Linked DNA regions of Sus scrofa. The protein of the gene in region 2 interacts with the protein of the main gene of each other region in a pairwise test. Links are inferred from orthologs where the notes say so. Each region holds a gene or a part of one and is shown on either strand. Other genes may lie near its edges.

What was found.
Region 1: the proteins of TOP1 (region 2) and BTBD2 interact in a two-hybrid assay, tested with the Homo sapiens proteins (2 studies listed by BioGRID). The link is inferred for Sus scrofa from reciprocal best matches to the Homo sapiens genes TOP1 and BTBD2.

What each region holds. Positions count from the first base shown.
Region 1 is NC_010444.4:76,537,085-76,542,159, reverse strand, and holds the start of BTBD2 (BTB/POZ domain-containing protein 2), read right to left. Parts: upstream 3,623-5,075; 5' UTR 3,614-3,622; coding exon 3,237-3,613; intron 1-3,236.
Region 2 is NC_010459.5:43,708,247-43,713,939, reverse strand, and holds the start of TOP1 (DNA topoisomerase 1), read right to left. Parts: upstream 3,671-5,693; 5' UTR 3,361-3,670; coding exon 3,328-3,360; intron 3,005-3,327; coding exon 2,980-3,004; intron 1-2,979. UniProt on the Homo sapiens protein: Releases the supercoiling and torsional tension of DNA introduced during the DNA replication and transcription by transiently cleaving and rejoining one strand of the DNA duplex.

The sequences.
Region 1 (5,075 bases), on a different chromosome or scaffold from region 2:
GGGAGAGAGGGAGGGAGGGATGGGTGATTGAATGTAGAAGAGTGAAGTGTGTGAGACCAGTTGAAAAAGTCTTGATAAGGAATAAAACTGGAACAGCCTCAGCAATCCTCAAAACCCCGCCATAAAGTCACAGTCATCAAAACGGTGTCATTGGGCGCAGCACACACAAATAGATCAAAGAAAGACAGGGACCCCAGACACACGCTGCTCCACTTTCTGGGCTTCTCTGTGCCGCTAGGTTTCCCGTGATAGAAGAAAGGTATTTTAGATATTAATGTTGTGGAGCTGTCTGACTTATACAGTGTTACCTTACAGATACCTGGCATTTCCTCATAGGGAGCCCCTCAAGTGTAGACGCCAGGCTTTCTCCTGGGCACATGAAATGCAGGACGGGGAGGCAAAGCCCTGCTCATAGCCACACAGTCACACATAAAGCCAACGACAGCCAGGGAAAGTTAGAAGGGAAAAGAGTGTAGGGCAAGGAGGTGGGAGCTGCAAAGCTAAGCAGAATGGGCGGTGGTCTGATTGAGGCCTGAGTGTGTTCGGCCCAGGCCCTTTGAAGTCACACAAGCCAGGCCGACTCCAGCCCTCCTGTCTCCCGTGCCCAGGTCACCGGTCACCGTGCACCATGCAGAGTTCACAGCCCCCCTGACCCCAGCCCAAGACCACCCCAATCCAGGGTCCTGGGAGATGGTGGGTCTGGACCCCACACCCTTCCAGGAAGTCAGCACAAGCCCCTCCCCGCTCTGCCAGGTGTGAGGGACCTCAGGCCTTGTTCCCCAGTTACCAGGTCCGCCTTTCCTCCTTTCTGCCCCAGGCCGTTCATTCTTTCAGGAAAGCGGTGTTTAGCTGTGTCCTCAGGCCCCTTCCAGGACCATCTTGAGGACTGGCCTGAGTTCTGCAGGATGTCCCCAAGCTGGGTTTATCTGGTATTTTCTGAGAGGACTGGCTGTACTGGTTTCCTGGGGCTGTTCTAACAAATCACTGCAAATTGGGTGACTTGAAACAAGAAGAATTTATTCTCTCACGTTCCTGAGGCCACATGTCCAAGATCAGGGTGATCAGAGTGTCACAGGGCCGAGCTCCCCACCCCAGGCTCCAGGGGAGGATCCTTCCTGCCTCTTCCAGTTTCTGGTGGCCCCTAGGCACCCTGGGCTTGTGGCTGTGTCCCTGCAGCCTCTGGCCCCACTGTCATGTGACTGTCTTCCCTCCATCTCTCCTCAGAGTGTCCCTCTAAGGACACTCAACGTTGGATTTAGGACCCATTCAGATAATCCAGAATGATCTCTTGCAACTCTTAATCACACCTGCAAAGACCCTTTTTCCAAATCAGCTCCCACTCACAGGTTCTGGGTGTCAGGACGTGGGCACACATTTTGGGGAGGAGGCACCATTCAACCCAAGACACTGGGGTTACAGGTTTAGGAAAAAACACGCTAAGGTGACGTGCCCTTCTCATCAATTTCTGCTGAGGGGGGGGCTCTGTCACCCCCAGGATATCACTGTGAAATTGACCTTGACCATCTGGCGAAGATGGCATCTGCCCAATTTCCTCTAGGTTGGGTTCTAGTCTTCTCTTTACAAGCAAGCCCCCAGATTGGGCCCACCCAGGATTGGAGGTGGGAATGAGGTCCAGAGGAACTCTCCAGAAGGAAGCTTGTCCTCTCTCCACCTCTGTTCCATCAGTGAGGGTCTTGGGTGTTCATTTTAGACTCTGGCTCATGACCCCCCTGTATTTTAAGCCAGCCCGTACAGAGGACGAGCCCTGGGCCACTGTGATCAGCACAGGGTCCATCCTCCCAGTGGTCCCGGGAAGGAGGGGTCCCAGGGCTCAGTCCCCAGTCACGGGGGGAAACTGAGGCTCAGCAAGGGCCAGGGTCACTCATGGGGCAGTCATCTACCCGACCACTGACCACTGGAGGTAAAATTTCAACAATGCATATGAAATAATCACTGAAAGGCTAAAAAGAAAAAGAACTAGCACCTTCAATGGAGGACGCCCACAGAGCAGGAATGTGGGGTAGGAACGGTGCGAGGGAGGCTGGGGGCTCAAAGGCAGCACATCCACCACCTCCAGCTCTGAGTTTTCGGTGGGGGGGGGGGCTGCAACACACACATGGTCCTGAGGACCCAACCACGGGCCTGGAACCTTCCTTGGACAGGAATTTAGACCCAGTTGTTCATTAATAACCAAGAAAAACCAGAAAGAAGGATTTCAGAGGCACAGGCTAAACAAAAGCCACACATCAGAAAGGTAGAGAGGACCCTCACAGCAGGCTGGGGGACACTCCAAGCAGAATGAGGAGAATCCCCCTAACCCCTCCCCTAACAGAACCCCCTCAGCGCCTCCCCGCTACCCAGAGAGCAGGGCCAGAGGAACCAGCAGTGGGCAGGGCAGTGTCTGACATCAGCCCCACCCCACCTAAGGGCCTGGGGGCCGCATCCTAGAGACTGGCAGAGGGATGGGGCCTGGACCCAGAACTCCCGCCTCTGGAGAAGAGGCCTTGGGGGTAAGGGGTCAGGGAGCTGAGGGCAGCACCGAGATGGGGGGTCACTGCAGGTTCTGTGGCTCAGGAGTCTGGGGGTCTTGGGTTCATGAGCTGGAGGTCTGATGAGGCTCTGGGGGTCTAGCCCCAAAAAGGATGGGGAAGTCAGGGGGAGGAGGTCATGATGGAGGATGTGGAGGGAGGTGGCTGTGTCTGGGGTCCTCAGGCTGGCCAAGCTGGGACAGCAGGGCCTGGAGAGCCTGGCAGGGGTTGAAAGGTCCCAGGAACGCCAGGGGTGGAAAAGGTCCCTTGGTCTGGGAGATCCTGGCCAAGGTGGTGGGGTCAGGGGTCGCAGAGCCAGGAGTCACTGATGAGAATGAAAAGGCAGAGGGTCTCAGGACCAGAATATGGCTAGTATCTGGAAATACGGGGTGGATGGGCGCCTGGTAGGGCCGAGGAAGGATGGGGCCTGAGGATGATGGGTACTGGGGACGAAAGGGTCCTAGAGACACTGGATGTCCGGGGAGGGCAGGTCCCTGAGCCAGCAGGGTTCCGCGAATGGCGGGTCCCCGATCCAGGGAAGATGGGTCCTGGGGATGGCGGGGTTGGGGGCCGGGGGTAGGTCCCAGGGGTGGCAGGGTTCGGGGACGGTAGGTCCAGGGGGTTGGTGGATCCCAGGGGTAGCGGGGTTCGGGATGGCAGGGGCGGGGGCGGAGGGTTCGGGACGGCGGTCCCGGGACAGCGGCCCACCTGTGCGCCGGGATGCGCTGCGCGCCGAGCCCCTTGCCCACCAGGAAGTGCACGTCGCAGAGCACCTCGTTGTTGAAGAGGAAGGCGAAGCGCTCCTTCACCGTGGGCTTGGTGGCCTGCCAGTTGTAGACGGGCTCGCGCAGCAGCGCGGCCGCCCCCGGCTCCTCGGCCGCCCGCTCCCCGCCCGCCGCGGCCTGCGCGCCCGGCCCCGACACCGGCGGCGGCGGCCCGGGGGCGGCGGGGGCCGGAGCGGCGGCGGCGGCCGCCGCGTTGCCGGGAGCCGGGGCGGCGTTGGCGCTGGGCCCCGGGCCGCCCCCCGCTCCCGGGCCGACCCCCGGCGGGCACGACGCGCGCCCGCCGCTCCCACCCGCCGCCATCTTGTCGGTGCGGCGCCGGGCGGGGCGGGGCGGGGAGGGAGGGGGCGGGGGAGGGGGGGTAGAGCGGAGGGGGTGGGGCAAGGGGGGGGAGGAGGGGGCAAGGGGGGAAGGGAGGGGAGGGGGAGAGACCGGAGAGGAGGGGCAAGGGGGGGGGGGAGGGGGCGAAGGGGAAGGAAGGGGAAAATTAAGCGTCTAAAAAGTGACTGGGATGGAGTTCCCTGGTGGCTCAGCAGGTTAAGGATTTGGCGTTGTCATTGCTGTGGCTCGGGTCATTGCCGTGGCACAGGTTCGATCCCTGGCCTGGAAACATCTGCATGCCGGGCAGGGCAGAAAAAAAATAAAAGGGTTGGGAGACCTCAGGATTCTCAAAGCCTGGTCCTTCCCGTGGAGAAGGGATTTCTTCATTTGGGCGGTGGCCCATGGACCGCCCGCAAAGCCACAGGCAAGACATTCCTCCTCAGTGTCCAGTTTCAGCCCGAATCCTGGCCGGTTCTTACCTCCAAAGCAGACCTTGAATCGTCTCCCTTTTCCTGGGTCCCCTCGAGGACCGGCTCTGCTCTCACCTCAGGGAAGTAAATTTTTAACACTGGGCTGCATGGGGTTTTTTTCAGGGTGGGGGGCGCCCCCATGTTTTCATTTTGCACTGTTCCGGAGAATTCTGTGGCAGTCCAGGCCCCATTCCACTACCACTGTCGTCTAAAACTGCCCAGCTTGCTCCCTGACAACCACCAGCCCCAACAACCCAACCTTCCTTACTCTTTTTAGAATCTAGCCTCCTCCCAACTTAAACCAGGTCTTTGGGAGCCGCTGCTTAAAGCCCTCCAGGTGCTCCCCATGAAAGCCAAACCCCTTCACCTGGGAACTCAGCTCTGTGGATGTCATCAGCCCTCCTAGCTCCTTGGCATTAGCCCCACCCCTACGATAGACTTCCACTATCAGCCTTAGCCCCTGGATTTTAGACACTCCCACCTTGCCAGCCCACTGCCTCTGCCCTTTGGGGTGAGAAATGAACAGAAGGCCAAATCGTACAACATTATAACCATGCGCAAAGCCATCTCAAACCTGATTTTTTTTTCAAAGATCTTTGTTTCACTTTAAAAGTAATATATAGGGGGAGTTCCCGTTGTGGCGCAGTGGTTAACGAATCCGACTAGGAACCATGAGGTTGCGGGTTCGGTCCCTGCCCTTGCTCAGTGGGTTAACGATCCAGCGTTGCCGTGAGCTGTGGTGTAGGTCGCAGACGTGGCTCGGATCCTGCGTTGCTGTGGCTCTGGCGTAGGCTGGTGGCTACAGCTCCGATTGGACCCCTAGCCTGGGAACCTCCATATGCTGCGGGAGCGGCTCAAGAAATAGCTAAAAAAAAAAAAAAAAAAAAGTAATATATAGGAGTTCCCACTGTGACACAGTGGGTTATGAATCCGACTGCAGCAGCTCAGATCCCCGCAGCCCAGCACAGTGGGTT
Region 2 (5,693 bases):
CTCATAGGTAGATGATGGTTTCTGCTCCCGAATCTCCCAGCAATTCTCTAAATATAAATACATTTCACAAATAACAGATTTTTTCCCAGCAGTTGAGTATGGGCCAAAATATTCTAATTTCTATATGCACACCAACAGTTTTAACTACTGTAAAGAATAAACTCCAAAGGCAAAAAAACCTTTTAGATCTTAGAGGATAAGGGCAGGCAAATGAGGGCTTTTTGTTTTAATATATGAACTGGCACAGTTAATCTGTAAGATGGGTTAGGTCCACTTAAAACCATGCTTAAGCAAACTCTTAATACAAAGATCAATAATAACTTGTCTGGGTATAATTAAACATTGATTTTTATTTTTTTTTAAACTCTTTCGTAGTTACATAAATCAATCACTAGTTATCAGTGTATTACTTAATAGAGAAAGCACACAGCTACTAATACTACATCTTTCTTCTAGACAATATTTACAAAGGTAATACTCCAGTGTCAGATCATTAGGGCAGTAGGGAAGCAGTTTAAGTGCTTATCCTCTTAAAAGAGCAGGTTTAGATAAAAAAACAAATGACAAACTATCAAATTCGTCCCTCTCGACTTTCTCAGCTCTGTAAGAAAGTAAAGATGTGCAGCTTTTAATTTCTTCCTACTAGAATCATACAGAGCATAGTGGCTAACCTTGTGAGCTTTGTAGTGTCCAACTCACTGCCCTTGGAAAGCTGGTAAATATACCCAAGTCTCAGTTTCCTTACTTATGGAAATGGAGATAATAGTACCTAACTCATAAGGGTTCTTCCAAGGATTAAATTAAACTAGTTAATCCATGAAAAGAGCTGAGATGCATGTCTGGAACAGTATATATTCAATAAATATGAACAATTATTGCTATTACAAGTGAAAAATTCTAAAAGTCAATATAACCAATTTACTCCAGTCTCTACCAAAAAATGGCACTAAAGATCAATAATTTACCTAGCCTACCATCATTCACATATACAATAGTTCCTCTGTATAATCTATGTGAGAACCACGGAGGTTAACTTTCTGAGAAAGGACAACACTTTGTTTCATTACTAGATACATTACCTACTCAGCCTAGTCTCAAAGTCAAAAGAACATTTATTTATTCTGTATTAAGATCCTACCTTCTTCCAAGAGAGGTCAAAAGGACATCCTCATCTGACACATCCTTTCTTTGCTTCCACATCCCAAAGAAACATATCTACACTCTGGCTTTCTGAACTGCAAGGGCCTCATCTCCCTCTTTTAAAACCCTGATAGGCTGACTGAACAGTTAGGAAATACTCTAACCCCTGACACTCAGCACCTAGTCTTGCACAACACCCAGCTACCTCCTCTGAGAAATTTCCCCACCCCCAGACTGAATGCCCTAGTCACCCAAAGCATTTCGGGTATACATATGCCCCAGCACCTACCTTATAATTAACTAATTATGTCTCCCCAGATAGACTGGATTGAAGGCAAGAACAGCAGTGTCCGGGCCAAAGATTCAACTTTAGTACTTAGCACAGTGCTGGGCACATCTCTCAGGTGCTCAAAAACTGTTACATTTTAACCAGATTCTCTCCTCTCCCCTAGTACTATCTCCTGCTGGATGCCCTACTCCAAAATCTGAACATAAGGCTGCTCTGCTCTCAGTAGAGCAGGCTAACACGATGGACTGCTGATTACAACATCAGAAAACCTACTCATCAGCTTCTCCCATTGGAGAGATTCCCGGAACCCAAACTCAACTGAGCAGAATTATGTATACCATCAGAATGGGTGGGAATTCCCAGCACACTACAGAGGGTGCCTTCTCCTCCAAAAGGATTGCTGAAAAGCTCACAGGGGAAGCTTTTCCTGGGGAATCTTCACTGAGCAACTGAACTGGAAATACTCAGAGTAAGTGCCTTGATTTGGCTGAAAAGGGTTCAAAAATATGAACATCTGGCAAAAGTCAGCTAGCTCTCAATTCCTGAAAAACAGTGGCTTCTGAAGAAGAATGAGCAGGAAGAATGGGTGCTGGCCACTCTTTGTTTCAATAAATAAAATCTTTTTTTTCTGACCCACAGCCCACAAGAAAAGGCCAGTACTCCAGGCCAGATGAGATGCTGAACAACCTTTCCTCCTGACAACCACATGAAACTGCGTTAGAAAAACACTGCTTTGGGAATCTCAGCCCCAATGAAAAGTTCTAGTCGGTGTTACTTTACTTAAAAAAAAAAAAAATCTATATGCCCAAGTCCAACATTGGATGGCCCACAGACAACTTGTAAACTTTCTGAAAGTAGATACCACTACCCTGGCAAAGAACACAACTTGGGGAAAGCAATCTCAAAAGGTGAAGAACTCCACAAAGGAGGGCTTTAGTTTTAGAGCCCTAATTCTAACCATCAAACATCTCACCGAAGGGGTGGGGGGATCAACAGTTGCTCAAGGGTATCTTTCATTCTGGAAGCAGAAAAGGAAACAAACAAGAAGCAGTAGGGGAATAACCCCTCAAATAAAGTTCTCTTTGGAAAAAAATAGTAACAATTCAGGCTCCCACCCTTCCCTCTGCTGAGGTCTGTGATTTATATGGCTTTGCTCTGCAGAAAGCTCTTTCTGGGCAGCTCAGGGAAGGAGCCGAGGGAGGGAGAGAAAGAGACACAAGCACAGAAAGGAGAGGAGAGAGAAAAAGAAAATGGCGCAGAGACTAAGTCCCGACTGTCGACAGGGCGACTTTCCCGGGAGGAATCCGGGCCCGGAAAGGCTGCCCGACGCCCGGTGACGGGCGACGCGGGGTCTCCGTTGCCCCCTCTTGGGAGGGCCGCGATATGGGGGCAGTGGGGTCCCCGGAAAGGGGGTCCAGAGGCGGCCCGATGGGAACAATGGGGCCGGTGAGCGAGAAGCCGGGACTTAGTCTCTGGGACGCCATGTCTGTCCTCTGCCCGGCTCGGGCCGGGCGGCCGGGGACCCGGGGTCGGGGAGGGGGCACACTCACCATTCAGTCGGAAATCCGCCTCGATCTGGGGAGAGAAAAGGAGGGACCGTGAAACAACAGGCACATTCACCCCGCGGCGGCCGGCGGGCGAGCGCGCGCGGCCGTGGGCCGGTCCCACCCTGCGCCCCCCGGGATGGAGGGGCCCCGGGAACGGCCGCCAGGGCCCGCCAGCCCCCCAAAATTGGAAGTTGGCGGCTTCCGCCCGGGGAGCCCATCGCCTCCGGCCGGCCGCCCCTACCCAGGGGTTCCGGCCTGTCAAAGCGGCCAGGCCGAGGCCGGGGCCTGCGCCGGGGGTCTTGGAGGGCCGGGGCGGCGCCGGGGACCCAGGCGGGTCGGGCAGGGCCGTACCTGGGAATCGGTGTGGAGATGGTCCCCACTCATGTCGGCAGGAGTGGCGAGTGCGGCGGGCGGCGAGGGGCGCCGAGGAGACGCAGACGGTCGCTACCGGCCTGTGCGGGTGGACAGGGGCTTCCGGAGGCTCCCGAAGGCTCCCGGAAGCGCGAGTAAACGTCGGCGGGGCGGGCCTGAGACTCCCGGTAAGGCTGAGGCGGCGACAGCGGCGGCGACGCTGACTGACTGCCGGGCGGGAGGCGAGAGCAGACCCCAGCAGTTGTGTAACAGCCTAAGTTCGCATTTCGGCTCACTGCGCCTGCGCGGCCGCTTTTAAATGAGACGTCGCTGACGTCAGAGACTCGCGGAAGGAGGCCGAGGGTTGTGGGGCCCGCCCCCTCGCACTTCCCAAGGAGGACCTGGCTTTGCATCGTAAGCCCCGCCCCTTAGTCCTCGCGCGCCGCTGTGATTTGCATGAGAAGTTGACTCCTCCCACGGCCGCACATCCTGAGCAGCCTTCTTTTCCTCTCCCAGCGCCTTTTCTCGGAAACCAGGCCCCTCCCCTAGGCTGTGCGCAGGCTCAGCCCGGACACCGCCTCCGGACCGGGGCCGGCCACTCGGCCACGTGGTGGGCCTTTAAAGGCCGCGGCGGGACCGCGCCAGGCCTGGTCCGTGCTTCTGTCTCGCTTTTTCCTCTTCTCGGAGATTCAGAAACCCTGGCGTTCAGGGCCCCTGAGCTCTCACCGGCTATTCCTCTCTCGTTAACCATACTCCGAGGCTATTTGATGGGAGGAGCTCCTTCCCCAGCCTTTGTCCAGGCTTTCCAATTCCTCGATTATTTCATGCTTTCTTAAAATTTATTTTATTTTTTTTCAGCCCACCAAAAGTCTGGTTTAGCTCCCGTTTTCAGTCGGGTACGTGTGGCCCTGGGTCTCAAGAGGCCTAATTTCATTAGTTCTTTCTTCAGACCTTCCTGAGCCAGGAATTGCGTTAAGAAAAAGGATAGGATAGGGACCAAAGAGAACCAGATCGCGGGGTGAACACGACCTGGCTCTGTGCCCTGCTGTATCCTTAGCGCGCAAAGAGGCCTAGGGGAGAGGAATTGGAGAGAGAACTGCCGCTTATGGAGCATCTACTCTGCTCTGATTTGACACAATAGCTCTTTGAGGTCGCCTATTTTACTAAAGTTTAATTGTGTCAGAGATAAGTGACCTACTAACTGCCTACTTGACATCTCCTTTTGGATACCTCACAAACTTCCCTAAACTCACCATCTTCCTCCACCACCCAGTTAGAAAAGCTCCACCCTGGACATCTTCCTTTTCTTTCTCATTCATCCAGCTGATTGCATGTTTTCAATCTTTCCCTTGGCCACACACCTGTCGAAGTCTGCATTATCTCTTGCTTGGATTATACTACATAATACATTCCTAACAGGGATCCCTGCTTCCCTTCTGGCCCTCTCACAAGTTGCTCTGCAACAGTAGCCAAAGTAATTTCTCTACACCAGATCTATTATCCCCTCCAACAGTACTTCTCATCTTAGTACAAAGTTCAAAGTTCTTTTTTTTTTTTTTTCTTCCTGGTCACACTCATGCATGCGGAAGTTCCCTGTCTGGGGATGAAACGTGCTACAATTGTAACCAGAGCCACAGCAATGACAACCCAGGATTCTTAACCCACTGGACCAAGAGAGAACTCCATAAACCAATCTAATTTTGAATTCTGCTCTTCTGTTGATTAGCTGTGTGACTTCAGGAAAGTTGTTTAACTTCTCTGAACCCCTATTTCCTCATCTGGACAATGGCGATAATGGTGAAAAAAATTTTTAATTAACATATAGTTGATTTACAATGTTCTGTAATGGTGGAATTTTAAGGTTTTGTTTTTTTTGTTTTCTTGTTTTTGTTTTTTTTTAAGTTGTTTGAGAATACAAGGCTACTAATTGATGAGTTTTGGATTCAAACTCAGGTCTGCTTGACTCCACAGCTATGCTCTTTCTCTCAAGCAAGCTACCAAAACCAGTTTCATCTTGCTTTCGGTGTCTTTCTTCATAGTCCTCCCATCTCGGAATTAATCCCAGGCCACCAGGTGAGGCGTGTGACTACTACCTGTTTGCTGCAGTCAGGCCAAAGTAACTCGAGGACTGCCTTAAGGAATAATAGCGCCTCCCACCACTACTCCTCCACCATCCCCTAAAGCCGGGGAAACTCTGCATGCATTTTCCAGGTACCTCCAAGGAAAATCTGGGTAGGCCTAAAAACACACACTCCAAAATGACACACCAAGCATGGTCCCTGTGCACAAATATGCAGGTATCTGGGTGTCTTGTCACAGGCTGCACTTCTTTGCCAACATACAAGGCTGGCAGTGCTCAGAGGGTG